Macaca mulatta: one gene and its partners. The main gene of each other region encodes a partner of the protein of the gene in region 2 in a complex. Links are inferred from orthologs where the notes say so. Each region holds a gene or a part of one and is shown on either strand. Other genes may lie near its edges.

Region 1 (9,939 bases), on a different chromosome or scaffold from region 2:
TTCAAGACCAGCCTGACCGACATGGAGAAACCCTGTCTCCACAGAATTAGCCAGGCGAGATAGCTCATGCCTATAATCCCAGCTACTCTGGAAGATGAGGCAGGAGAATCGCTTGAACCTGGGAGGCAGAGGTTGCAGTGAGCCAAGATCACGCCATTGTACTCCAGCCTGGGCAACAAGTGCAAAACTCTGTCTCAAAAAAATAAATAAATAAAAGGCTGGGTGTGGTGGCTCACGCCTGTAATCCTAGCACTTTGGGAGGCCGAGGTGGTCGGATCACGAGGTCAGGAGATCAAGATCATCCTGGCTAACACGGTGAAACCCTGTCTCTACTAAAAAAATACAAAACACATTAGCCGGGCGTGGTGGCAGGCGCCTGTAGTCCCAGCTACTCGGGAGGCTGAGGCAGGAGATTGGGATGAACCCGGGAGGCGGAGCTTGTAGCGAGCCAAGATCACACTTATGCACTCCAGCCTTGGGGACAGAGAGAGACTCCGTCTCAAAAAAATAAATAAAAATAAATAAATAAATAAATAAATAAAATTTAAAAAGTAAAAAGGGCCAGGCGTGGTGGCTCAGGCCTGTAATCCCAACACTTTGGAAGGCCAAGGCGGGCAGATCACAAAGTCAAGAGATCAAGACCATCCTGGCCAACATGATGAAACCCCCTCTCTACTAAGAATACAAAAAATTAGCCGAGTGTGGTGGTGCGGGTCTGTAGTCCCAGCTACTCGGGAGGCTGAGGCAGGAGAATCACTTGATTCCTCCACCAGGGAGGCAGAGGTTACAGTGAGCTGAGATCACGCCACCACACTCCAGCCTGGCAACAGAGTGAGACTCCACCTCAAAAATAAATAAATAAATAAAAATTAAAAATAAAACAAACAAAAAGAAGGCAGGGCACGGTGGCTCACGCTTATAATTCCAGCTCTTTGGGAGGCCAAGGTGGGTGGATCACAAGGTCAGGGGTTCGAGACCACCCTGGCCAACACGGTGAAACCTCGTCTCTACTAAAGATAAAAAAAAATTAGCCAGGTGTGGTGGTGTGCTTCTGTAATCCCAGCTACCCGGGAGGCAGAGGTTGCAGTGAGCCGAGATCGCGTCATTGCACTCCATCCTGGGCGACAGGACAGCGTGTGCCCCTCTCCATTTCAAAAAAAAGAAAAAAGGTAAGAAAAAAAAAAGGAGCTCGAAGTGTCTCAAAATTCTATTGGGGAATCTAAGTGTGACTTTACTTGACAAGACCAGGCCTTTGGAAAACAGCTTACCCTACCTAGTTTCATACCATAAAAAATCCAGTTTATGAATTATGAGGGCTCTGCCCCTGTCCAGTGAGAAGACACAGGGAGATCACAAAGCCATATAAGGGGTGCAAGAATTAGGTGGTGGGAAGGTATTTGGAGATGGTGTACCTAAGCTGAATGGTTAGCATATTCCTGTACAGTGGGACTGCCGCCCTGCCCTTGTCCTCCAGCAACCTTCTTGACAACATTCCAGCTGCCTCACATCTCATTAGGACTCAGGAATAGGGAAAGCTCACAACTTCATTCACTAATAGAGTATGTTTGATCCTAAAGTTAAGAGTCAAGGAGGACTTATGGGTAGCCTCCTTTCCCCTACAACTTAAGAGGGCTCCTTCCCTCGACAACATAAGTCTGTCCTCAGCTGGCTCCTGACAACCAAGCCCCTCCTCTAGAGACCTGACCACTCCATCAGCATCCACACCGTGCTTCCTCTGTATTCTCTCTCCCTATACGTAACCACTCTATCAGACGGTCTTCCCTTTTGTCTTCTGATCTTGGCTCCCTGGGCCCTGGGACTCACCATGGCCTTCCGGTCCTCCTCGGCCATCTTGAGGCGCTTCTGAGCTTCTTCATAAGCCTAGAAAAAAAAAAAAAACAAGAATGGAGGGGTGTGAGGCCAAAGAGCCCCCACACTGACAGCTGCTCCTCTTTAGAATCACAAGGATCATTCAGATGTACCCTAACACAAAAAATGTCCCCTCTCAGTGAGGGATCTGTACGATTGCAGATACAGTAGAGAGTTGCCTTAGCCACAGGATGCACAGGGCTTCTCTCACCTCATCTCTCCCCACAGAGGTGAACATCTCACTAGAGAAAGCCCCTTGTCTTCCCAGAGATCACCATCTCTGCAATCACAGCCAACCTCACATTTCACCCTGGGATCTTGGGGATTTACAGAACGTGCTGCTCCTGTTCACCTTCTTGTCTGACCGCTCCAGGACATTTCGAGTCCGATCCTTGTCCCGCTGTCGAACCCTCTCAGCAAAGGCATCACGCTCCTCCAGGTCCTGAAGGCGCTCACGCTCTGTCCGTTCCCACTCATCTTCTGACTCTGGCTTCTCTGTCTGCTGTTTACTCCCCCTGCAGCCCATCCAGGGGATTAAATAAGGGCATCGAGCACACTTCAGCCTGCCCCATCCTCCCTCGCCCTGCTTCTGACTTACCCTGTTTTCTTCTTCCCTTTCTCAGAAGCCTCTTCCTCCTCTTCTTCCTCCTCTTCCTCACGCTTCTTCCTGAGGTGTTTCCGCTTTTTACGTTTCTTCTGGAGGCTGCTTCCAGCCCTACTCACAGTCTCCTCACTGCTCTCTTCACTGTCTTCCAACAACCTATAAGATCGGTTCTTCTCCAGCAGGGCTCGGGCCTCTCGCTCTGCTGCCCGCGCTGGCTTTTCTACCACTGCCTTTCGTGGTACCTGTCAGTAGAGGGGAAGATAAGGAGGTCTGAGCAACTCCTGATCTCTGCCCTCCCACTTAGCTCTAGCTCTGTTCCTAATTTAAGCAATTACTTAGTCTCCCCCCGCCCGCCGAGATGGAGTCTTGGTCTGTCACCCGGAGCTGGAGTGCAATGGTGTGATCTCGGCTCACTTCAACCTCCACCTCCTAGGTTCAAGCAATTCTCCTGCCTCAGCCTCCCAAGTAGCTGGGATTACAGGCGCCTGCCACCACACCTGACTAATTTCTGTATTTTTAGTAGAGATGAGGTTTCACCATGTTGGCCAGGTTGGTCTCAAACTCCTGACCTCATGATCCAGTTGCCTGGGCCTCCCAAAGTGCTGGGATTACAGGCGTGAGCCACCGCACCCGGGCACAATTACTTAGTTTTAAACCAGCTAACCAGCCTTCATTCTGTCTTCCTCATGGCTTCACCCCATGTTTATCATCCTGAATGGGGCCCACAGCTTTTTGGCTTTTTTTACAGACAGGGTTTCACTCTGTCCCTCTTGGGCTCAAGTGATCCTCCCACCTCAGGCTCCTAAGTAGCTGGAAACACAGGTGCACACTACAACGCCCAATTAATTTTTAAATTTTTTGTAGGGAGGTTTCACTATGTTGCCCAGGCTGGTCTCGAACTCCTGGGCTCAAATGATCCTCCTGCCTCAGCCTTCTGGGGTGCTGGGATTACAGGTGTGAGCCACTGCACCGGGCCTCCTCTGTTAATTAAACGGCTGAAAGGAAGTTCAGAAGCTGAGGGGGGACGGGCAAGGTGGCTCACGCCTGTAATCCCAGCACTTTGCGGGGCTGAGAGAGGAGGACTGCTTGAGCTGAGGAGTTAGAGACCAGCCTGCGCAACACACCAAGGCCTCGTCTCTAAAAATAAAAATAAAAATGAAAGATATTAGCCGGGGGTGGTGGCGCATGCCCATAGTCCCAGCTACTGGGGAAGATGAGATGGGAGGGTCGCTTCAGCCAGGGAGATCGACGCTGTAGTGAGCCGTGATCTTATGACCGCACTCCAGCCTGGGCGACAGGGCGAGCGAGGCTGTGTCTCTCAAAAAAAAAAAAAAAGGAAAGAAAGAAAGAAAAAGAAAGAAATGCAGAAACTAAGATCCCTACTGAATCGCAATCTGCATTTTAACAAGGGCCCTGGATGCATGTTAAGAGTTCGAAAAACACCGTTCTATTGCGTTTAACCCGACACACCTAAGCCCTCCTCAATCTTCTCCACTGAGCTGGGCGTCCAGCAGCTAGCACAGTACCTAGGCGACAACGGACAAAGAATAAGTGCTTGTGAACTGAGCTTTCTTAACTCCTCGATGGACCGTTAGGCCAGCCTCATCGGGACAAATCACAGGACCCCTCCCCACCCTGCCGACACCTTGTTCCAGAGTCTCAGGGCGAAGTCCCGGGCCGGCCCACTGAGATCCAAAGTATCAGTGTCTCGTAGGCGCTGCACGAACTCCTCGGCCGACGTGCAGCGCTGTGCAGTACCGATCAGGAACTGGGCGACGTGCCGCTCGCTCAGCCCCAACACCGAGTGCAGCTCGTCCTGAACCCAGCGCTCCAGCCCCGCCGGCGTCGCCATGGCGACCCACGCTCCCTGCTCCCAGCCCTGAAGCGTCGGGCAGCCCCGTTCACTGCTGGGCCAGTCGGAGGCCTGGAGCCCTCGGCTGGAGCCTCAGCTTCGCAAGGCGGCTACCTTGGGACCTCTAGGATCAATTTCCGACATCCCAAAGCCGTCGTCCGGTACCGCAAAGCCCGGAAGGGGCTGCACTTTTTCCGGCCTCTAAGCACTACGGTGGCCGAGCGAGTTCAAACCTCGCGGAACCATGCCTGAAAGTTCGGAGTAATTCTTTTTTCTTCATTTCCGCCTCTATCCAGTTTCTCTGACGCCCCCTGATGGTCAGTCCGTGAGTGCTTCCCTAACGCATTCATTCAACAAGTGAAATCAATTTAATGGAGGCCTAATGTGTGCTCATTGCTTTCCGTCGCTGGGATCTAGCAGAGGACAAATCAAAAGTTCCTTACCAAATTTACATTTTGCGGTGGGGGAGGGACAGGATACATAATAAATAAAGTATGGAAGTTTTATAGCGCCAAAAACTCTGCAAAGTAAGGGACAACCGAAATTCTATTTCAGATTGGAAGATGGGGTCCATGCTCATGAAGCATATTAGCCGTGTTGGCCGGGCGCGGTGGCTCACGCCTGTAATCCCAGCACTTTGGGAAGCCAAGACGGGCAGATCACTTGAGGTCAGGAGTTCGAGGCCAGCCTGGCCAAGATGGCTAAACCCTGTCTCTACTAAAAATATAAAAATTAGCCGGGTGTGGTGGCGTGCGCCTGCAGCCCCAGGTACTCGGGAGGCTGAGGCAGGAGAATCGTTTGTACCTGCGAAGCGGAGCTTGCAGTGAACCGAGATCCCACCACTGCACTCCAGCCTGAGCGACAGAGGAAGACTCTGTCTCAAACAAACAAAAAAGTGACCTTTGCTAGGATTGGTTTGCCTGCAGCAGGAGTGAAGACAGGTCAGGCATAAGGGAAGACCTCTAGGCAGGAAGAAACTGGGGAACTGGGGAAAATTTTTTTTTTTTTTTTTTTTTTTTTTTTTTTTTTTTTTGAGACGGAGTCTCGCTCTGTCACCCAGGCTGGAGCACAGTGGCCGGATCTCAGCTCACTGCAAGCTCCGCCTCCCGGGTTCACGCCATTCTCCTGCCTCAGCCTCCCAAGTAGCTGGGACTACAGGCGCCCGCCACCTCGCCCGGCTAGTTTTTTGTACTTTTTCGTAGAGACGGGGTTTCACCGTATTAACCAGGATGGTCTCGATCTCCTGACCTTGTGATCCGCCCGTCTCGGCCTCCCAAAGTGCTGGGATTACAGGCTTGAGCCACCGCGCCCAGCCCAGGAAAATTGTTAAAGACAAAATCTCCAAACTAAGGAACAGGCAAACTGTTTTCTGCATTTTTGCTAACATCTTGAGAAAATCACTGGTGGCTGCTTATTTAAAAGTAAGCAAGGCCAGGTGCAGTGGCTCTTCCTATAATCCCAGCACTTTGGGAGGCTGAGGCAGGAGGATCTCTTGAGAACAGGGGTTTGAGACCAGCCTGGGCAACATGGTGAGACCCTGCCATCTCTACAAAAAATTAGCCAGGTGTGGAGGTGTGCATCTGTAGTCCCAGCTACTCTGGAGGCTGAGACAAGAGAATCTTTTATTTTTTATTTTTATTTTTTTGGAGACGGAGTCTTGCTCTGTTGCCCAGACTGGAGTGCAGAGGCACGATCTTGGCTCACTGCAACCTCCGCCTCCCAGGTTCAAGTGATTCTCCTGCCTCAGCCTCTGGAGTAGCTGGGATTACAGGCGCAATAGGCACGTGCCATCACGCCCTGCTTACTTTTGTATTTTTAGTAGAGACGGGATTTTACCATGTTGGTCAGGCTGGTCCCGAACTCCTGACCTCATGATCTGCCTGCCTCAGCCTCCCAAAGTGCTGGGATTACAGGTGTGAGCCACCGCGCCGGGCCTGAGACAGGAGAATCTCTTCAGCCCAGGAGCCAGAGATTGCAGTGAGCCGAGATCAGGCTCTCCAATCTAGGCGACAGACCAAGACTATGCCTCAAAAAAAAAAAAAAAAAAAAAAGCTGAATTTGTCTCTTGATGCTCTGCTGTCTGATTTGTTTGACCTTGCATCACACTTTTATGATTAATTGCAGTTACCAGGCATTACTGTTAGGAAATGAAACATTGTTCTTATTAATAGTCACAAGTGGATCTACATCACTGACTTTTTTTTTTTTTTTTTTTTTTTTTTGGAGAGGGAGTCTCAGAGTCTCACTCTGTCGCCCAGGCTGGAGTACAGTGGCGTGATCTTGGCCCACTGCAACCTCCACCTCTCAGGTTCAAGCGATTCTCCTGCCTCTGCTTCCTGAGTACCTGCGACTACAGGCACGTGCCACCACATCCAGCTAATTTTTTGTATTTTAGTAGAGACGGGGTTTCACCGTGTTGCCCAGGCTGGTCTCGAACTCCTCAGCTCAGGCAATCCACCCGCCTTGGCCTCCCAAAGTGTTAGGATTACAGGCGTGAGGCACCACGCCTGGCCTGACTTCTTGAATGCATTGTTTTCTGTTTCTGAGATGGACTGTGGGCACTCCTGGCATCTCAGAGCTTCCTAACTCTGTTTTCCTGGGTCACAACTGGAAACTTATTAAGACCTTTACCTAACAGGCTGCTAATATAATCATTCTGTTTCCTTCCCTTCCCAGACTTCCTCCCAACTGGCTGTCTTTTGACACTGGGCTCGTTCTCTTGCTAGTAAATTGAAACCCTTTGGCATATGCTTAAGATCAATTTGTCTGATACATTTTGTTTTATAGTAAAGGCCTGGAGCCTCCTCTGACCAGTCTGAGAGTAGCAACTTATAGTGGTAGAAGGACTCTAACTATTCAACCATATCTTTCTTAGCCTGGAGAGCTAACAACTAACAAATAAAAATACCTGATGAATAAAATATTGATGTTCCACATTTGTATAAGATACTCTTTGAAATGGGAAAATCCCGAATATCAACTATATGGGCACCAAAGCCATGCATTATCAAGGCTTTTTAAACCTTTTTTTTTTTTGAGATGGAATCTCGCTCTGTCGCCCAGGCTGGAGTGCAGTGGCGCGATCTCGGCTCACTGCAAGCTCCACCTCCTGGGTTCACGCCATTCTCTCGCCTCAGCCTCCTGAGTAACTGGGACTACAGGTGCCTGCCACCATGTCCGGCTAGCTTTTTGTATTTTTTTTTTTTTTTTTTTTTTTTTTTTGAGACGGAGTCTCGCTCTGTAGCCCAGGCTGGAGTGCAGTGGCCGGATCTCAGCTCACTGCAAGCTCCGCCTCCCGGGTTCAGGCCATTCTCCAGCCTCAGCCGCCCGAGTAGCTGGGACTACAGGCGCTGCCACCTCGCCCGGCTATTTTTTGTATTTCTTAGTAGAGACGGGGTTTCACTGTGTTAGCCAGGATGGTCTCGATCTCCTGACCTCGTGATCCGCCCATCTCGGCCTCCCAAAGTGCTGGGATTACAGGCTTGAGCCACCGCGCCCGGCCTGCTTTTTGTATTTTTTTGTATTTTTAGTAGAGATGGGGTTTCACCGTGTTAGCCAGGATGGTCTCGATCTCCTGACCTCATGATCCACCTGCCTCGGCCTCCCAAAGTGCTGGGATTACAGGCGTAAGCCACTGCGCCCAGTGATATAAAATCCATTGTCTTTCAGAGAACCTTTTCCAGGAAACCGACTCTTGTACATAGTTACTTCATTTTGCAGTAATTTCAGATTTACTATTCATAGCCCCAACTCTTGAAGTACATATCCCTGGATTAGCCACATGGGTTGTGTGTCATATACTACCTAGCTGCCTGCATGGCGCAGGCTTCTAAATCCTAGAATCCTTCAACTCGAAGTGTCCTCTGCAATATTTTAACCCTTTTCTTCTATTCATTCGTTGTCATTCATTCTAGAAATAATTTCGTGTCTACTAGTTGACAGGTATGGGATGTTGCAGTGAACCCAGCTGATGTAGTCAGTCCTCATGGCACTTCCAGTCTAGTGGACACTTCAACTGCCCTTTCTCATGTCACCTGCTTGTCCTGCGTGAAACCCATGCGCAGCTTCCCAGACCCCTTTTGACATGTCAGTGCCGAGTTCCTGGTTCATCCCCCATCATTTTCCTCTCCCCCAGCCACCAGAACCTCCCCTCACATACTCGTGTTTTTTTTTTTTTTTTCTAAAGGAGAAGCAGACGAGTTGGAGAGAACTCCATTTTATTATGGAAAGTTAAAAAACAAAACAAAACAAGACAGGCAATTGATAAAGGCGGCACAATGGGGGAGGAGAGGTGAGGGGTCTCCTTAGCCACCCGACACCATCTCAATTCAGTTCAATTGTGAACCACTAGGAGAAACAGAATTAAATAAGTATCAACAGGTACAGAGTTAAGATTTCCAGCCTTCCCTCTTGGGGAAAACTAAGGCAAAGTAATACTGAGAAAAAGTGGAGGAAGCCACACCTTCAGGTCACTCCAATGAGAAGACTGGAGGGGAGAGAGGAAAGAATTCCACGCAGACACAGCAAGTAAGCGTGGCTTGTAAACCTGGGACTTTGGCAGGTGGGGCTGGGAGCTGGTGGAATTTGTAAACCAGGCTGTGGTCAAGGAGGAGGCAGGAGCTGTAAACAAAGGGGCAGTGACCTAGGAAATGAGGGAGATGTGCCTATAAATGGAGTGGGCTCTGGGCCTCGAGAGACATGAGTGCTTAAATCCCAAGAGTCCCCACGGGATGGTGGGGAGGAAGGCTGTGGGGAGAGTGTACCCTGCCATGGAGGGCAGGTGCTCCATCTCCACCCTCCAGGGAGTTCTGTGCTCCTTCTCAGCACTTGGCGCTCACTCTTAGATCACCCAGGATGTACCAGCACGTTTAACCCCACCCACACCAGGGACTTTGGATTAGGGTAGAAATTGGGCAATTGGCTCTGCCCCCAGAAACAGGGTGGGGAAAGCAAGTTACAAGATGTTGGTTGTTGCCCTTCCCTGCCAGGCTCATTATCAGGGTCTGCTGCCCTGAATCTTCCGGGATCCAGGATCTTCAGTTATAAGAAGGAAGGAGGTATATCCCTATGTTGAAGATGGTCACCGCCGGCAGGACTCATCTGTGGGAGAGGGGGCAATAATGACAGAGAATGAGTGAGAGCCTCTGCCTTCTGCCCACCCTTCCCCCACACACAAATTGAAGGGCAGTTGGCATGCAGGAAGTCCTATAATATCTTCCACATCTAAAGCACGTTACCATCAGTAACCACATCCATCACTCATTTAGCTCGGATTTTGTGCCAAGCATCCTCATAACTGTTTAATGTCACCATAACTCCAGGAGAGATTAAGTAATTTGATATCCAGCTGTGGCTCTTGGTGCTTCACAAAAACTACTTAATCTTGGCCTGGAGCCCCTGTAATCTGAGCAATTTAGGAGGCTGAGGCGGGAGGATCACTTGAAGTCAGGAGTTCAAGACCAGCCTGGCCAACATGGGGGAACCCTGTCTCTACTAAAAATATAAAAACTAGCCAGGTGTGATGGTACACATCTGTAATCCCAGCTACTTGAGAGACTGAGGCATGAGAATCGCTTGAACTTGGGAGGCAGAGGTTGCAGTGAGCCAAGATTGT
Region 2 (9,939 bases):
CGCCACCATGCCCGGCTAATTTTTTGTATTTTTAGTAGAGACAGGGTTTCACCGTGTCAGCCAGGATGGTCTTGATCTCCTGACCTCGTGATCTGCCTGCTTCGGCCTCCCAAAGTGCTGGGATTACAGGCGTGAGCCACCGTGCCTGGCCTCTTTTTTTCTTTTTCTTTTTGAGATGGAGTCTTGCTCTGTCACCCAGGCTGGAGTGCAGTGGCTCGATCTCAGCTCACTGCAACCTCCGCCTCCTGGCTTCAAGTGATTTCTCCTGACTCAGCCTCCCGAGTAGCTGGGGTTACAGGCCCCCCCCACAACACCTGGCTATTTTTTGTACTTTTAGAAGAGATGAGGTTTCACAATGTTGGCCAGCCTGGTATCAAATTCCTGACCTCAAGTGATCTGCCTGCTTCAGCCTCCCAAAGTGCTGGGACTATAGGTGTGAGCCACTGTGCCCAGTCCCCTACTGTGATTAAAATCATTCCCTTGACAGTCCTGGTGAGTACCTACTGGGTGCCAGATGTTGGGGTGACCCCGCCTCTTGAAGCCAACAAGACTCATCACAGCTTACCCTTTTTTTTTTTTTTTTTTTTTTTTGAGACAGAGTCTCGCTCTGTCGCCCAGGCTGGAGTGCAGTGGCGCAATCTCGGCTCACTGCAAGCTCCGCCTCCCGGGTTCACGCCATTCTCCTGCCTCAGCCTCCTGAGTAGCTGGGACTACAGGCGCCCGCCACCGCGCCCGGCTAATTTTTTGTATTTTTAGTAGAAACGGGGTTTCACCGTGGTCTCTATCTCCTGACCTTGTGATCCGCCCGCCTCGGCCTCCCAAAGTGCTGGGATTACAGGCGTGAGCCACCGCGCCCGGCATAGCTTACCCTTAAATAGCTCTCACTGTGTGCTAAGCTCTCTTCTCGGAACCATAAAGGGGAGGGACTGCCGATACATGATCCCATTTTGCAGATGAGGAAATGGGCTCAGAGAGGTTAAGAAACTAGTTCGGGCTGGGCGCGGTGGCTCACGCCTGTAGTCCCAGAACTTTGGGGGTCTGAGGCAGGTGGATCACGAGGTCAGGCGTTCAACACCAGCCTGGCCAACATAGTGAAACCCCGTCTCTACTAAAAATACAAAAAAATTAGCCAGACGTGGTGGCGGGCACCTGTAATCCCAGCTACTCAGGAGGTTGAGGCAGGAGAATCACTTGAACCTGGTAAGTGGAGGTTGCCGTGAGCCGAGATTGCGCCACTGCACTCCAACCCAAGCAACAGTGTGAGACTCCGTCTCAAAAAAAAAAAAAAGAAAAGAAAAGAGAAAAGAAACAAGTCCAAGGTCACAATCTAAGTGGATGAGGTCGCACTGGGACTCAGGCAGTATTTAAATGACTCTTTTTTTTTTTTTTTTTTGAGATGGAGTCTTGCTCTGTCACCCATGCTGGGGTGCAGTGGAGCAATCTCAGCTCACTGAAGCCTCCGCCTCCCGGGTTCAAGTGATTCTCGTGCCTCAGCCTCCCAAGTAGCTGCGACTACAGTTACCCACCACCACGCCTGGCTAATTTTGTATTTTTAGTAGAGATGGGGTTTCACGATGTTGGCCAGGCTGGTCTCAAATTCCTGACCTCAAGTGATCTGCCTGTCTTGACCTCCCAAAGTGCTAGGATTACAGGTGTGAGCTGCTGTGCCTGGCCTTTAAATGACTCACATTACAGCACCAGGTTGGAGCCAACCTGCTTGGGTTCAACTCTAGGTCTATGATTTTCTAAACATTGGGTCTCACTATGTTGACTAGGCTAGTCTCGAAGTTCTCAGATGATTCCCCCACCTTGGCTTCCCAAAGTGCTGGGATTACAGGCATGAGCCAGTGCACCAGGCTAAGGTCTACTATTTATTATCTGTAGGATTTGTGCAATGTGTATAACCTCTCTGAGCCTCAATTTCCCCATCTGCATAATGAAGATCATATTGGTACCCACCTTAAAGGGCTGTCTGTTGCCTATGCCTAGCACATAGTAAGCTTTTGGTGGGGGCATTAAGGGGGGCAGTACAGCCTGGTGGTTTGTTTTCAGCATGGGAGTCTAGAGTCCGATTAACTCCAGTCATTGCCCCAGTTCCTCCTCTTAGCTCCTTTGGGATCTTGAACAGGATGCTTATTTCCCATTCCCTGGAGGGCTAGGGGGTCAGGGACTGGAGGTGGGTCCCTTTACCTTTCTGACTTGGAGATTTCCCGGGCTGCCTGGGGTTCGCACAACCAGCAGGGGGCGCAGATAAGTGCCCCAGAGACGCTGTGGGTCCAGTTGTCCCACCACCCTCCGCAGCCGGGCTTCGGGAAGGCTTCCGATCAACGGGACCTTGGGAAGGAGGTGGGATAGGGAAGGGAAGAATGAGAGCAACCCACCATTTCATCCCTACCCCGGGCGCCGTCACCCACAAGCAGCCCCGGGTCCTCTTTCTAATTTGCGGCCTCCAGCATCGGAGACTTCTAGGATAAATCCAAGGCTCAGAAAAAGTCCTTCCAAGACCATCCGGTCCAGCCTACCTCAAACTTGATGGGGAAATCGAGGCCCAGTGAGAGAGAGGGGAGATGGAGGAAGGGACTCTTCCAAATAGTTGACTAAAGGCGTAGAACCCTGAACCCCCTCGTCTTACTATTTCAGACCTTTCCTCATAAAAGGAAGCTACTGTTGTAAAACCAGCCCGAAGCCTTATTCCTTTGGTAAGGGTCATGCGCTCAGATGACGAAGACTGTGGCATCTGCGGTTAGGGCCGTACGCTAAAGCCAAGTCAACCCTGGGTAACAGCGGGGAGGGAATGAGGGTCCCCGCGGTGCCCGGGTCCCCGCCCAGCCTCACCCGCAGCTCCCGGCCCAGCGGCAGCTCCTCAGTCCTGCGGTGCCAGCCGCTCCAAATGGTGTAGAACGCCGAGCCCACGGCCAGCGCCAGCAACAGGGGCAAGAGCCGAACCCGCGGTAGCAGGCGGCGCTTCGGGGGCAAGAGTGGCTCCATAACGCCACGTTCCCCTAGCCGCAGGCGGGGCCGCCCGCGGCCCCCGGAACGCATGGCAGCTATGCCCTGAAACCTGTACCAGACCACGATTGAGTTTAGGCCCAGCCAAGTTCCACCCCATGGAATCAGTGGGCCAATAAGCAACAGCAGCGGCTGCACCTGCCCACCCCACAGCGAGCAGCGAAACCAATAAGAGCTACGGTCCTGAGGACACGCCTCCCGGCCTCCCTTGGGTATTGGGGTTGGTTCTTCTGAGAATGGCACGACCCAAAAGGGAGCGCAAAAGAGATAGGCTCCGCCTTAGCGGAGGGGGAAAGCCAATGAGCAGCGTTTGATCGTGGAAAATATTCAATCTCTCGGGCGCAGGTCCATGCCCCTCCCGGATGTAGGCAGGGGATTGGTGGCGCAGGGTCGGAAAGATCAGTAGATACGTCAATAACCCGTCCCAGAGGGAAGAGGGGCGGTGCCTGTCTCCGAAGCGAGGAGCGGATTGGCTTCAGCGGAGGCCGCGCCCCCGAAGTCACGGCCGGCGGGCATTTGGAAATAGTTTGTCATTTCCCTCCTTCAACCTGTACCATTCTTCAACGAAACGGTTTGAATCAGACCGCCTTTCCTTTTGTCTTCATTGTCATAAACATCTGCCCCGTGTGGTTCTGACTGGCCTCGAACCCCTATTCGAGGCTTTTATTCTTTCATTGTGCACCGTTGGTGGGCAATGCTATGGCAACAGGCCACGCCTCCACTTACTGGTTGGCTTTGCGCAGGCGCCAACGGAAGTGGGTCGCAGGAAGAGGAAGTCCCGCCTCTCTCGCCTCAGGCTGCAGCAACGCGGAGGAAACGGGAGTGAACGGAGAGCTTAGTGACCATCATGTGAGGCCGGGCTAGGCTTAGGCGGCGGGAAGGAGGTTGAGGGTGGAAATTTTGACCTATTGAGGGTGGGAAGGGTTGAGCAGAGAGCGGGGTGGGGGACAGGGGCAGATGTTTTAGGGATGGAGCGTCCTGCTTTTCTCCTGATGAGTTTGAGAACGGGCGTGGGGCCTTTGACGCATCGTGACTTCGGGAGAGGGGACAGCTTTATCAGATAACGCGCTGGGCTGGGCGCGGGGACTCATGCCTGTGATCCCAGCATTTTAGTAGGCCAAGGCGGGAGCATCGCTAGAACACAGGAGTTTCGAGACTACTCTAGGCAACATAGCGAGACCCCCGTCTCTACAAAAAAAAATTTTTTTTAATTATGAAAAACATATTTTAAACGATAACGGAGGGGGGTCCTAGATAATTAGTCCTATTGAAGTGAATGTTAAGGGGCAGCGATTTTACGAATACTGGGGGAGGCCGGGCGCGGTGGCTCAGGTTTGTAAATCCCGGCACTTTGGGAGGCCGAGGCGGGCAGATCACCTGAGGTCAGGAGTTTGAGACCAGCCTGGCCATTGTGGTGAAACCCCGTGTCTACCAAAAATACAAAAATTAGCCAGAAGTAGTGTCGGGCCCCTGTAATTCCAGCTACTTGGGAGGCTGAGGCCGGAGAATCGCTTGAACCCGGGAGACGGAGGTTGCAGTGAGCCGAGATTGCACCACTGCACACTTCCAGCCTGAGCGAAGAGTAAGACTCCATCTCAAAACGAAACAAAAGAAATCAAAACGAATACTGGGGAAGGGAAGTTAGGACTTTTAGAAATAATGATTTGAAATAAGGGACTTCTCCTGATCATTTGAGCTGGAGACAGATGCGTTTTCGACCTAATTCACAACTTAAAGGGATAACGAGTGATTGGCATGATTTTGCTCATTTATTAGTGCACCAAATATTACATTGAATGTTTATGTATCAGACACTGCTTAAGCCACATAGGATACATCAGTGAATGAAACCTTTTGTTCCCAAGGAAAAAAAAAATCTTTTTTTTTTTTTCCCGAGACATAGCCTTGCTCTGTTGCTCAGGCTGGAGTGCAATGGTGCGATCTCAGCTCACTGCAACCTCTGCCTCCCGAGTTGAAGCAATTCTCCTGCCTCAGCCTCCCGAGTTGCTAGGATTACAGGCACCCACCACCATGCCCAGCTGACTTTTATATTTTTAGTAGAGACCAGGTTTCGCCATGTTGGCCAACCTGGTCTCAAACTCCTGACCTCGAATGATCCACCTGCCTCGACCTTCCAAAGTGCTGGCATTACAGGCGTGAGCCACCGTGCCTGGCCGGGCGTGAGCCACCATGCCTGGCCGGGGTTTTACTTTCTACACTGAGATGGCGGGGGGGCATGGGAGGATTTTCTTTTGTTTGTTTGAGATGGAATCTCGCTCTGTCACCCAGATTGGAGTGTAGTAGCACGATCTCTGTCTCCTGGGTTCAAGTGATCTTCTTGCCTCAGCCTCCCAAGTAGCTAGGATTACAAGCATGCGCCACCATGCCCAGCGACTTTTTTTTTGGGGGTGGGGGATGGAGTCTTACTCTGTAACCCAAGCTGGAGTGCAGTGGTGTAATCTTGGCTCACTGCAACCTTCGCTGCTGGGGCTACAGCGATTCTCCTGCGTCATCCTCCTAAGTAGCTGGGACTAGAGGCATGCGCCACCACACCTCGTTAATTTTTTTGTATTTTTAGTAGAGACAGGGTTTCACCATGTTGCCCTGGGTGGTCTGGAACTCCTGAGCTCAGGCGATCCACCCCCCTTGGCCTCCCAAAGTGCTGGGATTACAGGCGTGAGCCATCACATGCAGCCTAATTTTTGTATTTTCTAATTTGTATTTATTTATTTTTTGAGACAGAGTCTCGCTCTGTTGCCCAGGCTGGAGTGCAGTGGCATGATCTCGCTTCACTGCAATCTCCGACTCCTGAGCTCAAGCGATTCTTCTGCCAGAACCTACCAAGTAGCTGAGATTACAGGCGTGCACCACCACGCCTGGCTAATTTTTTGTTGTTGTTTTTGTTTTGTTTGTATTTTTAGTAGAGATGGGTTTTCACCGTGTTGGCCAGGCTGGTCTCGAACTCCTGACGTCAAGTGATCCACCCGCCTTGTGAATCATCACCAGCTGGATGCCTAACAGACATTTTCTTTTTTTTTCTTTTCTTTTTTTTTTTTTTTTTTTTTGAGACGGAGTCTTGCTCTGTTGCCAGGGTGGAGTGCAGTGGCGCGATCTCAGCTCACCGCAACCTCTGCACCACAAAAGTGCTAGGATTACAGGCATGAGCTACCGTACCCAGCCCCTGGGAGGGCTTTGAAGAGTGACATGTTATGATTTAGGTTTTAGCACAGCCCCTCAGACCACTCTGTGGAGAACAGACTGTCAGGGAACATGGGTGGAGGCAGAGAGACCGGAAAGATTCCAGGTCAGAGATGACAGAGGCTGAGGCCATGGTAAGAAATGGCCACTTCCTACAGATTTATTGTAGGATGCAAGGGAAAAAGAGGAATCAAGTTGACAAAGAGTTTTTGCCCAGAGAACTAGAAGGCAGATGGGGAACACTGTGGATAGGGTAGGCTTCGGTGGTTGGGTGATCTGGATCCCGACCTGAGACATGCAGAGTTGAAAATGTCTGGCTGAGCGCGGTGGCTCACACCTGTAATCTCAGCACTTCGGGAGGTCGAGGCGGGTGGATCACGAGGTCAGGAAATCAAGACCATCCTGGCCAACGTGGTGAAACCCACTGTCTACTAAAAATACAAAAATTAGCTGGGCGTGGAGGTGGCGCGCGCCTGTAGTCCCAGCTACTCAGGAGGCTGAGGCAGGAGAATCGCTTGAACCCAGGAGGCAGAGGTTGCAGTGAGCTGAGATCGTGCCTCTGCACTCTAGCCTGGCAACAGAGCAAGACTCTGTCTCAAAAAAAAAAAAAAAAGAAAAGAAAAAGAAAATGTCTGTTAGGCATCCAGCTGGTGATACTCAGAAGGCCAAACAGGACGGATGTGATGGGACAAGGCTGGGGAGACATTGAGGCTGAGGCCCTGACCACCCATCCTCACAGCTCCAGCCTCTCTCACTTGTGGGTTCCATGTTTATCCATGCAGGAGCCTCCTCAACAAGCCCAAGAGTGAGATGACCCCAGAGGAGCTGCAGAAGCGAGAGGAGGAGGAATTTAACACGGGTCCACTCTCTGTGCTCACTCAGTCAGTCAAGAACAACACCCAAGTGCTCATCAACTGTCGCAACAATAAGAAACTCCTGGGCCGTGTGAAGGCCTTCGATAGGTGAGTGCTGGGTCCTGGGAGGTGTTCTGTGCAGGCCTAGAGAGGCTGCCCTAGCTCCAGTCTGAAGAGCTCAAAGACAGGTTTCTCAGACGCCTGGGGTGTATGGCCCAGGGTGGTGGCTCATGCCTGTAATTCCAGCACTTTGGGAGGCCAAGGCGGGTGGATCACCTGAGGTCAGGAGTTCGAGACTAGCCTGGCTAACATGGTGAAACGGCATCTCTATTAAAAATATAAAAACCGGGCGTGGTGGTGCACACCTGTATTCACAGCTACTCAGGAGGCCGAGGCACGAGAATTGCCTGAACCCAGGAGGCAGAGGTTGCGGCGAGCTGAAATCGCACCACTGCACTCCAGCCTGGGCAACAGAGCGACACTCTGTCTCAAAAAAAAAAAAGAAAAAAAAAGATAATATTCAACGACCTTGTGAGGAAGGTACTGTGATTGTCTTCCCTCTTAAAGATGAACAAACTGGCACAGAGAGGTGCAGTCCTTTGCCTCAGCCTCAACCTAAGGACTGGCAGAATTGGCCTTGGCAGCTTGGTCATCCAGCCTAGCACCTGCATCCTTCCCCAAGCCATGCTGCTGGAGGGGGCGAGCAGCAGGCAGCGCTGTCAGAGGCACCCCCCTCACACCCAGTGCCTCCCCTCCCTGTTCCCCACCAGGCACTGCAACATGGTGCTGGAGAACGTGAAGGAGATGTGGACTGAGGTCCCTAAGAGCGGCAAGGGCAAGAAGAAATCCAAGCCAGTCAACAAAGACCGCTACATCTCCAAGATGTTCCTGCGTGGGGACTCGGTCATCGTGGTCCTGCGGAACCCGCTCATCGCCGGCAAGTAGGGGCTGCCTATCCATCGACAGAACTCACTCTCTCGTCCTATGAAGACCATTGCCATTGGTGTTGAGAATAATAAAGCTCTGTGGTTTTTTTCTAGTGGTATGTGTTCCCAGAGCCTTGTGAGTGGGGTGGATTCAGGAGGGCTTGGGGGAGGCAGCTAATATCAAATTGAATGCTGGGACCAGGACCCGTGAGCAAGTGGAGAGGCCCTGGCTCTGCCCCATCGAGGCCTCACTTTCCCCCTCCGCAAAGCAAACAGGTTGGATGGAAATGAGCACCCAGTTGTGGCACTGGAGAATATTTTAGTTCTCCTGCTTTAATCTTTCTGAGCTTCGCCTTGTCACTCTGTTGCTCTCTTCTCTGCCTCTTAAAATGAATTGGCCTCGCTTGACCAAAATATCTTTTGGGGCCAGGCATGGTGGCTCACGCCTGTAATCCCAGTAGTTTGGGAGGCTGAGGCGGGCAAATCACCTGACATCGGGAATTCAAGACCAGCCTGGCCAACATGGTGAAATGCTGTCTCTACTAAAAATACAAAGATTGGCCAGGCGCAGTGGCTCACGCCTGTAATCCCAGCACTTTGGGAGGCCAAGGCGGGTGGATCACCTGAGCTCAGGAGTTCGAGACCAGCCTGGCCAACGTGGCGAAACCCCGTCTCTACTAAAAATACAAAATTAGCCAGGCATGGTGGCGTACACCTGTGGTCCCAGCTACTTGGGAGGCTGAAGCAGGAGGATAGCTTGAACCAGGAGACAGAGGTTGCACTGAGCTGAGGTTGCACCACTGCACTTCAGCCTGGGCAACAGATTCTAAGACTCCCTCTCAAAAAGAAAAAAAAAAGAGAAGAAAGCAGTCAGTAGCTAAATATTACTGCTAGTGATCCTGACTGACACTTGCTGAGCTGTTTAGGTATCAGGCCAGGCTTAACACTTTTCAAACATCCTCCCAACAGCTCTGGGGTGGGCCTGTTAATTTATTCTCCCCCTTTTCCAGAAGAAGGAACTGAGACACAGAGAGACGATGTCACTTTCCAGGGGCAAACCAGCCAGGAAGTGGTGGTACTGTGATTTAAACTCACCTCCTGAGCCTGTGGCTTCACCCCTGAGCTTTGCTGCCCCTCAAATTCAACTGCATTACCCTTGAGAGGAATTCTCTGACAAATATGGGGAGATAGATGGAGGTGGGAAAGGGAGGCGGGGAGGTGGTATATATATTGGGGGGGAGATAAGGAAGTTCCCTGTGTTGCTCTGACACACACATCGTGTGTTCCCCATATCTTTGTGGGGTTTTTTTTTTTTTTTTTTTTTTTTTTTGAGACAGGGTCTCATTCTGTCTGCCAAGCTGGAGTGCAGCGGCACAATCATGGCTCACTGTAGCCTTGACCCCCCCAGGCTCAAGTGATCCTCCTGCCAGCTTTTTGTAGAGATGGGATTTCGCTATGTTACCCAGACTGGTCTTGAACTCCTGGGCTCAAGTGATCCTCCTGCCTCGGCCTCCCAAAGTGGTGGGATTACAGGTGTGAGCCACTGCAGCAGGCCCTCCCCTCATATCTTTGTCTCTGCCTATGTCTGTGTCTTCTGGATATAGGCAAACACCTGAAAGGTGCAAGAGTTTGCAGCCCTGAGGTCAGTGCGCACTCAGTGAGGTGTGTGGCCCACTCTGAGCTGTGAAAGGCACAGCCTGGGGCCAGGCGCGGTGCCTCACACCCTGTAATCCCAGCACTTTGGGAGGCCAAGACAGGCGGATCACGAGGTCAAGAGATCAAGACCATCCTGGCCAACATGGTGAAACTGCATGCCAGCCTGATGGATGCACTCCAGCCTGGCAACAGAGTTAGACTCCATCTCAAAAGAAAAGAAAAACAAAAGAAAAGAAAGGCACGGCCTGAGATACACTGTGAGCATTGTGGCAGAGCTGGGACCCTGCAGCAGAGAG
Region 3 (9,939 bases), on a different chromosome or scaffold from region 2:
ATTGCCTGGGCACCCTCTGGGAGGCTGAGGATCGGCGTTCCTGTCATTCCGTGATGTTCTTCCAGAAGGTAAGAATTCCTGGAGCAGGGCCGGGCGCGGTGGCTCAAGCCTGTAATTCCAGCACTTTGGGAGGCCGAGACGGGCGGATCACGAGGTCAGGAGATCGAGACCATCCTGGCTAACACGGTGAAACCCCGTCTCTACTAAAAATACAAAAAAAAAAAAAAAAAAATAGCCGGGCGACGTGGCGGGCGCCTGTAGTCCCAGCTACTTGGGAGGCTGAGGCAGGAGAATGGCGTAAACCCAGGAGGCGGAGCTTGCAGTGAGCTGAGATCCGGCCACTGCACTCCAGCCTGGGCAGCAGAGCGAGACTCCGTCTCAAAAAAAAAAAAAAAAAAAAAAAAAGAATTCCTGGAGCAGATGAGTGGTTCCCTTGATAAGACGTTATCCCATCCCCCACCTCACCACTCTGGGAGAAGGGGCGACTGCTCACCCTCAAAGGGTTTTGGGTATCATTTGTCTTGGATGGCGACCAAGGGGATCCTGTCGAAGGCTGCAGACACTGACCCTAAAAGAGCACTGTAGTGCTTCATTCAATTCTCTCGATGTGAAGCAGCTGCTGGCACTGTCCCCATCTGACAGATGATTGGAGAAGAGCCCACACCCAGATGCCTGCCTGACCCCAAAGCCCAGCTCTCGTCCAACTCACTGTGCTGTTTGCCAACAAGCAGACATTTGTTTTGTTTGTTTTTGTAGGGACAGGGTTTTGCTATGTTGCCCAGGCTCCTCCCGAACTCCTGGGGACTCACGCAATCCTCTTGCTTCAGCCTCCCAGAATGCTGGGATTACAGGTATGAACCACCCTGCTCAACCAAGCAGATATGGGTTTTGGTTCTTTTTAAGAGACAGTCTCACTCTGTCACCCAGGCTGGAGTGCAGTGGCGTGACCTTGGCTCACTGAAATCTCTGTCTCCTGGTTCAAGTGACTCTTCTGCCTCAGCTTCCAAGCAGCTGGGACTACAGGTGCGCGCCACCATGCTCAGTTAATTTTTGTATTTTTAGTAGAGACGGGGTTTTGCCATGTTGGCCAGGCTGGTCTCAAACTGACCTTAAGTGATCCACCCGCCTCGGCCTCCCAAAGTGCTGGGATTACAGGTGTGAGCCACCTGAACCAACCCTGCTTAGGGGTGCTGCACCAAGTCATGGCCAGGACTCTACACTTACTAAGTGAAGATCCCTTGCTTTTCCTTCCCCTTCTCTCCTCCTCCCTAGGCCAAAAGGCCTAAGCACTCAAACCATGCAGACAGAAGCAAGGCCGGCTCGGGCTCAGGGAAGTCACAATCTCAGGGCTGCCACAGGGGATAAAAGACTCAAAGCTCCAAAGCGCAGCACGGAGCCTTCTCCGGAAACAGCAGAATAAGTGCCTGTCGGGGATCCCCAAGCAGAGACACTAAGAGAAAGGGAAACGATGCCAGTAAGAAAATACGCGGGGGCTCTCCTTCTCAGTTATGCATAATAAATATACGAGAAATTTCATCTGCAGAGGGTCCCACGGAGGGATTCCATGCTGAGAAAGCTACCGTGCTTGGGGCGGGGCGGGGCTTGCTCTGGCAGAAGAAGAGAAAAAAAGGAGGAAAAAACGGTTGGGAAAAGTAAAACTGGTGATAATGATCCCAACAATTCTAGATAAAGTAACAGCACAGAGGCGCAGATGCACAGACACACACACCCACACTTCTGCTCCCACAACCACCTGCGAGGCAGGCAAGGCAGGTGAGGAAACCACGCTCGGAGAAGGGACGGGAGTCAGCTAGGAATCAGCTGAAAAGTGGAGACGCTGGGGCTCAGTCACCCACGCGGGGAAGCTGCCCAGGGTGGCAAGAACCCAGGCCAGGCTCACGCCGCCCCCATAGCTCAGTGGACCCGGACCTCAGGGTACCCCTGTCCTGGGAAAGTTGCTTCCTGACCCTGAGGAAACGCCAGCAGGAAAGACCCCACTTGGTAAACATTTTTTGTGGGGACTGCTCTGTGACTTCCGCCAATTTTTCTCCAGGGTCAGCGGCTTGATTTGGAGGAGCTCTATTGCCCCCTGGTGGAGGTTTAGCCACATGCATCTGCAGGGGCCACAGTCACCATTCAGAAAGCAGCAGCTGTGTGTGGGGCAGAGGCATGAAAAGGGAGGGGACAGAGGACATTTTAGAGACCAACTTTTTAGAATATTTGTTTGGCATAATAATCTTCTAGAGGAGCTGGCATCACTCGGGGACCTGGGCAACTAGGGCTCCTGCGCTGGCTTGCCTTTAGCAGGCCCCACTCTGGTCCTCTGCAGGGCAGTAAGTCCAGGGAACTCACCCAAAGCCCAGGGCCGCCCTTCCCCTGTACCTGGAGCTCCAGGCCCTAAACCCGCTCCCACAGCCGCATGGGCCTCTTTCCTGGATCCTGACTCCCAAGGGTGAATGCCACCGTTGGTGTGTGCACTTCCAAACCCAGGGAGTGGCCAAGGGGCAGCTGTCTGTGGGGGTGTGAATCTGCCCACACATGTGCTGGAGCCCCCTCATGGAGAGAAGACCCTCATTTGTAGTCTAGTCCCAGGAACCTCCTCTCCTCTCCTCTTTAGAGGAGACCTGGGTGGTCTTTGAAAAATTTGAATCATACTTATAATAATGTATTTTTAAAAATGTGTTACTTGGGCCAGGCGTGGTGGCTCACGACTGTAACCCCAGCACTTTGGGAGGCTGAGGCGGGCGGATCACCTGAGGTCAGGAGTTTGAGGCCAGCCTGGCCAACATGATGAAACCCCATCTCTACTAAAAACACAAAAATTAGCCAGGCATGGTGGCGGGCGCCTGTAATCCCACCTGCTCGGGAGGTTGAAGCAGGAGAATTGCTTGAACCCAGGAGGCAGAGGTTGCAGTGAGCTGAGATCGCACCACCACATTCCAGCCTGGGTGACAGAGCAAGACTCCATCTCAAAAAATAAAATAAAATAAAATAGCCGGGCGCGGTGGCTCACGCCTGTAATCCCAGCACTTTGGGAGGCCGAGGCGGGCGGATCACAAGGTCAGGAGATCGAGACCACGGTGAAACCCCGTCTCTACTAAAAATACAAAAAATTAGCCAGGCGCGGTTGTGGGCGCCTGTAGTCCCAGCTACTCGGGAGGCTGAGGCAGGAGAATGGCGTGAACCCGGGAGGCGGAGCTTGCAGTGAGCCGAGATCGCGCCACTGCACTCCAGCCTGGGCGACAGAGCGAACTCCGTCTCAAAAAATAAATAAATAAATAAATAAATAAAATAAAATAAAATAAAATGTGTTACTTGATCCTATCAAGACTTTCAACCCAATTTCTAGATTATAGGAAATAAAGGGGATAAAGAAACAAACCACAAAGAGGCAATGAGACAAACCGGAAGGGGGAACATTTGCATTCCTGGTTGGGGCCTTCAAGAATCAGTGTTATGAAATGAGGGTCTGTTTAGGGTTACAAGCGATTTATCTCTTGGGGCCAGGAGTTCAAGACCAGTCTGGGCAAGACGGTGAGACCGTGTGTCGACAACAAATTAAAAAAAAAAAAAAAAAAAGCCGAGTTCGAGACCAGTCTGGGCAACACAGTGAGATCCTCTCGAAAACAAATTAAAAACAAAAAAAAGCCGGGCATGGTGGTGTCCACCTGTAGTCACAGCTACTCGGGAGGCTAAGGCAGGAAGACTGCTAGAGCCCAGAAGTTTAAATTTATGGTGAACTATGATCACACCACTGTACTCCAGCCTAAGTGACACAGTGAGACCCTATCTCAAAAAAAAGAAAAAGATTTAAGATAATTTATGTAGTGACTTCCTTCCAATGGGTATAATACATAATACGTAAAGAGGGGAAAGAAAGAGTAATTTTACAGTGGAGAAGCCTGACAAGACTTCAGCCAGGTGATCACGCGCGTGTTGCCCAGGCTGGAGTGCGGTGGCTATTTACAGGTGCAATCATGCAATCGTAGCACACTACAGCCTCAAACTCCTGGGCTCAAGCGATCCTCCTATCTGGGGCTACAGATGAGCACTGTGCATGGCTTGAAAAAGGGATTTTTGTTTGTTCTCAAAATTTTGTCTGCTTCAAACTATTTCCCACGGCCTAGATCTAAGCTCCGGCAAGCTCTGGTGCTGCTTAACTCTCTATCCTCTTTTTGTGCCATTCTCCACTTCACTATAACGATCCTGCCACATTCATCTTCCTTCTGGCTCCTTCCTGTTTTAAGGCCTTTGCCCATGCTGTGTCCCTGCTAAAATGCCTTTCTCATGATGGCCAAAACAGAAGTAACCACCACCTTCTACTGCTGTTTCTCATCACCCCATTTATTTGCTGCTGAGCATCATCTTTTTTGTTTGCTAACCACCTGTCCCCCCTACTAGAATGTAAGCTCCTGAGGGGCAAACACTTCCCCTAACTTGTTCACCATACTCCAGCATTTAGAGCAGTAGTTTACATATACGGTACATGCCCAGTAAATATCTGCCCAGTGAATAAATCAATAGGTCTTAAGATCATAACTACAAAAGAAGCCGTAAGTTACAGACTGCAAGCCATCTCTGCTTCTCCTGATATGAAAACACTAAATATGAGTTACTTTTGTTTCTAAGACAGATTCTCGTTCTGTCACCCAGGCTGGAGTACAGTGGCCCAATCCCAGCTCACTGCAGCCTCGTCCTCCAGGCTCAAGCAATCCTCCCACCTCAGCCTCCTGAGTAGCTGGGACACCACGCCAGACTAATTTTTTTTTTTTTTTTTTTTTTTTTAGCAGAGATGGGCTTTTGCCAGGCCGGTCTTGAACTCCGGGACTCAAGTGATCTGCCTGCTTCGGCCGCCCAAAGTGCTGACATTACAGGTGTGAGCCACCTCACCCACCTGAAATTGTTGTTGTTTTTTTTTTTGAGACGGAGTCTCGCTGTTGCCCAGGCTGGGGTGCAGTGGCGCCATCTCGGCTCACAGCAACCTCTGCCTACCGGGTTCAAGTGATTCTCCTGCCTCAGCCTCCCGAGTAGCTGGGATTACAGGCGCCCGCCACGCCCGGCTAATTTTTGTATTTTTAGTTAGAGACGGGGTTTCATCATGTTGGCCAGACTGGTCTCGAACTCCTGATCTCAGGTGATCCGCCTGCCTCGGGCTCCCAAAGTGCTGGGATTACAGGCGTGTGCCACCGCGCCTGGCTACAAAACTGCTCTTTTTAAAACATCTTTTTTTGAGACATGGTCTCACTCCGTCGCCCAGGCTGGAGTGCAGTGGCGCAGTCTCAGCTCACTTTGGCCTCTGCCTCCCGGACTCAAGCAATCCTCCTGCTTCGGCCTCCAGAGTAGCTGGGCCTACAGGTGCACACCACTGTGTGCGGCTAATTTTTGCTCCCGCTTAGCTGGGATTACAGGCACTCGCCACCATGCCCAGCTAATTTTTGTACTTTTAGTAGAGACGAGGTTTTGCCATGTTGGCCAGGCTGGTCTCGAACTCCTGACCTCAGGTGATCCCCCCGCCTCGGCTTCCCAAAGTGCTGGGATTACATGTGTGAGCCACCACGCCAGGCCCCAAGGACTCACTTGTAACTCACTTACCTCACCCCGGCCCATTTAGCCATCTAGCGAACGGGCCCAGCCCTTACCAATAGCAAACTCCACCAGGGTCTCGTTCTCCTCCGACAGCGAATCGAGAAATAAATCCAGGACCTGCAGCTGCCGCAGATACTCGTAGTTGCTGGGGTCATAAGCGAAGTTGGCGAGGTTGGCGAGGACTTGCTCCTTGGCGTCTGCAACGGGAAAGCGGCACTGGAGCCAGGTCCGGGCGGCGGTCACAGCCGACCCTGTCACCTGGTCCCACCGTGGCTCTCACCTTGGCTCTGGGTCTCCTGGAATTCCGTGACCAGCGCCTGCAGGTATCCCAAACGCCCGACGTGGGGGTCCAACTTCGGCTTCTGGGCCATGGCCGGCGTGACGGAGGACCCCCAGGGACGGGCGGGCGGGTGGGAAAGGTGCAGGGGGAAAGCCGAGCGAGACCCTCACCCACTCTCCACCTGTCTGGCGAGGGAAGACGCGGGGACGGCAAACGGGTTTCTTTCTTGGGTTCAGACTCTGCAGTAATTTGCAGCTGGAAATGGAATGTGGGGAGATGGGCCGGGGTCTCAGAATCCTGTAGGAGTTGGGTCTGAAAATCGAAATTGGGGCGCGGGAGACAGGGAACCGTCTGCGGGCTGGGGCTGGCGGAGTGGGTACTGGCGCCCAGCCCCCGGCTGCCGGGCTCGGTTCCAGGCTCCCGGCGGAAGCCGCGCTGTCCCCACCCTACAAGGCGCGGAAGGGGCGGGACGAGGCAGGCGAAGGGCGGGGCCGTCGCCGAACTCCTTGGCGCGCGTGCGCGGCGCGCTTTCGGTTTTCTGGCTGCGGAAGCTCTTTAGCCTGCGCTGGAACCCGCTGCGACACGCTTCGCCGAGGGAGGTATGGGCGTGGGTGGGTGTACTGCGAGGAGCAGCCTTGTCTCCCATATCCTATGTCCAGCTGCAAATTATTGCAAAATCTGAACGCAAGAAAGAAACCCACTTGCCGCCCCCGCCAACAGGAAGGCGGGTGAGGGCCTCTCTCGGCTTTCCCGCCCCACCTTTCCCACTCTCCCGCCCGGCCCCCCGGGTCCTCCGCCGCCCCGACGTGGCCCAGAAGCCGAAAGTGAGGCACCCATGTCGGGCGGCTGGAATGACGTGAGGAGCAACTCAGGAGCGCAACGGAGTCTGGCAGCACCCATGTTGGGAGGACGTCGAGGCAGAAGCACCTCCAGGATCCCCATGGCTGGCGGGGCGCCCCTTTAGAGCGCGGGCGTCAGCTCCTTACCCACCCCCATCAGTCTTTTGACCCTTTTGCAAAAAGCGTAGCGACCCCGACCCGTCCTCTATCCCAGCCCCGAGGTGAGTCCGCCACCTCTGGACAGAAATCAAAGGGGACGGGGTCATGTCCTGGTGCTTTTTGTCAGCCGGGTGGATGGCGCGCGCCCGGGGCAGCACCGGGGAGCCGGAGGAAGAGCCTTGTTTGTGGCGCTTTCGGGGCTTTCTGGATGCTGAAGCCCTTCGGCCGATTCCTTCTCGAGGATTCTCGGGAAGCAGGTGTGTGATGGATTACTACTCGTGGTTACAGGGAACAAAGCACCAGGGAAGGAGGTGGCCTTACTACACTCCCATCGCGTTTGACAACGTAGGGGTAGAGAGGTGGCTTAGGCTGTGAGTGTCCTGAGAATGCAAAAGTTGTTAATCTAATTGGAGTCACTTGTGTTAAAAAAACAGAACAAAAAAACCCGGACAGAGTCGGAGAAAACCATGACAAGAGGGTTCTCATGCATAAATATCTGATAATGAAAACTATCACAAAGATTCTGCAAAAACCCCAACCTTGCACAAAACATACTTTTGAATGGCCATCTGCCCAGCAACTTTCCTGTCCAACGTTGAACTGGTCACCCTTGTTACTAATTCTTCTACCTAAGGATAATTATCTCAAAACAATTATGTAATCCTATTTTTTCCCTTAAAGCCTTTCTTTCTTTACCTCCCTGAATACCCATATAGTTTACTATGGCATGGATACTACCTTTGCAATGCCCTATGCCCAAATAGATACTATTTTCTTTGAGAGAGCCTCTCCTATTAAGGTTGACAAAGGCAAGGACCATATCTTAAGTCCTGGGCCTGGGTGAAGGCAGAGTGGCCTACACGCTCCAGCCAGCTGCAGCCCCATTGGAAGCAGGCCTCACCTCTGAGGTTTCAGGTCCTTGTGGTCAGCCCCTGCCCTATGCACATCCTCTGACGCAGGAGTTTCGACCTTAGTCTGTGTGCCTAGGCCCGAGGACCCTCACCAAAGCCCTTTGGCTTCTATTGGGAGCCTCCGCAGCCTGGGAAGTGCATGTCACCCCAGGGTGCCCAAGGAGTTTTTCTGCCTCTTGCTGGACAGAGCAGCAAATAGGAGCCCAGAAATAGGGAGAATGGAAGTAAGCTCCATCCTCCCTGCCCGGGAACTGCCCCAGACCACCTCTAGAGGTTCGCAGGCCGTCAGCTAAGTGGGGATTGCAGAATCGATGGACCATCCCATCCTCCCTCATTGGTCTTCTCCCTTTTTTTTTTTTTTTTTTTTTTTTTTTGAGACGGAGTCTAGCTCTGTTGCCAGGCTGGAGTGCAGTGGCGATCTCGGCTCACTGCAACCTCTGCCTCCCGGGTTCAAGTGATTCTCCTGCCTCAGCCTCCCGAGTAGCTGGGATTACCAGCACGCACCACTGTGCCCAGCTAATTTTTGTATTTTTAGCAGAGACGGCGTTTCACCATGTTGGCCAGGACGGTCTCAATATCTTGACCTCGTGATCCACCTGCCTCAGCCTCTCAAAGTGCTGGGATTATAGGCATGAGCCACCATGCCCCGCCAGTCTTTTCCCTTTTTTTTTTTTTTTTTTTTTTTTTTTTTTTTGAGACGGAGTCTCGCTCTGTCGCCCAGGCTGGAGTGCAGTGGCCGGATCTCAGCTCACTGCAAGCTCCGCCTCCCGGGTTCATGCCATTCTCCGGCCTCAGCCTCCCGAGTAGCTGGGACTACAGGCGCCCGCCACCTCGCCCGGCTAGTTTTTTGTATTTCTTAATAGAGACGGGGTTTCACCGTGTTAGCCAGGATGGTTTCGATCTCCTGACCTCGTGATCCGCCCGTCTCAGCCTCCCAAAGTGCTGGGATTACAGGCTTGAGCCAATGCGCCCGGCCGTCTTTTCCCTTCTTAAGGCCTCAGGGAGGGGCCCTCCTTCTTGGGGTAGAATTCTCAGCCCTTGGTAGGTTTTACCTCTGCCCAGTCTCTGGCACACAGTAGATACTCAAGAAATATTTAGTGAAGGAATTCTGCCCAGAGATGATTGCTATTCTGCCTAGGAGCAGGTGAGATCAAAGTTTCCTGTGCAGAACACCCATTGATACCTTTTTTTTGGGGGGGGGCGGGGAATAAGGTCTCTCACCCAGGCTGGAGTGCAGTGGTGTGATCACAGCTCACTGCAACCTTGAACTTCCTGGCTCAAGGGATCCTCCCACCTCTGCCTCCTGAGTGGCTTGGACCACAGGCCTGTGCCACCATGTCCAGCTAATTTTAAAATTTTTTGGGCCGGGCGCGGTGGCTCAAACCTGTAATCCCAGCACTTTGGGAGGCCGAGATGGGCGGATCACGAGGTCAGGAGATCGAGACCATCCTGGCTAACCCGGTGAAACCCTGTCTCTACTAAAAAAATACAAAAAAACTAGCCGGGCGAGGTGGCGGGCGCCTGTAGTCCCAGCTACTCAGGAGGCTGAGACAGGAGAATAGCGTGAACCCGGGAGGCGGAGCTTGCAGTGAGCCGAGATCCCGCCACTGCACTCCAGCCTGGGCGACAGAGCAAGACTCCCTCTCAAAAAAAAAAGAAAAAAGAGAAAAAAAAAAAAAATAAAATTTTTTGTAGAGATGGAGGTCTCCTTATGTGGCCTAGGGTGGCCTCTCAAGTGATTCTCCCATCTTGACCCTCCAAAGTGTTGGGACTACAGGCATGATCCACCACACTTGGCTTTTTTTTTTTTCTTCCCCTTAATTTTTTTGTAGAGACAGGGTCTCTGTGTTGCCCAGGCTGGTCTTGAAGTCCTGGTCTCAAGAGATCTTCCTGCTCTGGCCTCCCAAAGTGTTTTGTGTTTTTTTTTTGAGACAGAGTCTCATTCCATCACCCAGGCTGGAGTGCAGTGGCATGATCCCAGCTCACCACAACCCCTGCCTGTCTGTTTCAAGCAATTTTCCTGCCTCAGCCTCCCAAGTAGCTGAGATTACAGGCTCCTGCTACTATGCCTGGCTAATTTTTGTATTTTTAGTAGAGATGGGGTTTTGCCATGTTGGCCAGGCTGGTCTTGAACTCCTGACCTCTAGTGACCCACCCGCCTTGG

The links.
Region 1: SNRPD2 (region 2) and DHX16 share a complex: the UniProt entries of both Homo sapiens proteins name them as parts of the minor spliceosome. The link is inferred for Macaca mulatta from reciprocal best matches to the Homo sapiens genes SNRPD2 and DHX16.
Region 3: SNRPD2 (region 2) and ARMC7 share a complex: the UniProt entries of both Homo sapiens proteins name them as parts of the minor spliceosome. The link is inferred for Macaca mulatta from reciprocal best matches to the Homo sapiens genes SNRPD2 and ARMC7.

Annotation. Positions count from the first base shown.
Region 1 is NC_133409.1:152,369,021-152,378,959, reverse strand, and holds the start of DHX16 (pre-mRNA-splicing factor ATP-dependent RNA helicase DHX16), read right to left. Parts: upstream 4,326-9,939; coding exon 4,119-4,325; intron 2,716-4,118; coding exon 2,468-2,715; intron 2,385-2,467; coding exon 2,222-2,384; intron 1,882-2,221; coding exon 1,825-1,881; intron 1-1,824. Other genes in the region: PPP1R18 (phostensin), read right to left, coding at 9,406-9,425. UniProt on the Homo sapiens protein: Required for pre-mRNA splicing as a component of the spliceosome. Contributes to pre-mRNA splicing after spliceosome formation and prior to the first transesterification reaction.
Region 2 is NC_133424.1:58,223,221-58,233,159, reverse strand, and holds SNRPD2 (small nuclear ribonucleoprotein Sm D2), read left to right. Parts: upstream 1-3,752; 5' UTR 3,753-3,856; coding exon 3,857-3,858; exon of another isoform or gene 3,859-4,591; intron 4,592-5,067; exon of another isoform or gene 5,068-5,163; intron 5,164-5,683; exon of another isoform or gene 5,684-6,000; intron 6,001-6,227; exon of another isoform or gene 6,228-6,341; intron 6,342-6,854; exon of another isoform or gene 6,855-6,989; coding exon 6,990-7,169; intron 7,170-7,805; coding exon of another isoform or gene 7,806-7,831; coding exon 7,832-8,006; 3' UTR 8,007-8,106; downstream 8,107-9,939. Other genes in the region: QPCTL (glutaminyl-peptide cyclotransferase-like protein), read right to left, coding at 2,191-2,334, 2,836-3,042. UniProt on the Homo sapiens protein: Plays a role in pre-mRNA splicing as a core component of the spliceosomal U1, U2, U4 and U5 small nuclear ribonucleoproteins (snRNPs), the building blocks of the spliceosome.
Region 3 is NC_133421.1:84,788,723-84,798,661, reverse strand, and holds the start of ARMC7 (armadillo repeat-containing protein 7), read right to left. Parts: upstream 6,031-9,939; 5' UTR 5,958-6,030; coding exon 5,867-5,957; intron 5,784-5,866; coding exon 5,640-5,783; coding exon of another isoform or gene 5,608-5,639; exon of another isoform or gene 5,236-5,607; intron 4,935-5,235; exon of another isoform or gene 4,901-4,934; intron 2,712-4,900; exon of another isoform or gene 2,151-2,711; coding exon of another isoform or gene 2,137-2,150; exon of another isoform or gene 1,199-2,136; intron 1,093-1,198; exon of another isoform or gene 886-1,092; intron 1-885. UniProt on the Homo sapiens protein: As a component of the minor spliceosome, involved in the splicing of U12-type introns in pre-mRNAs.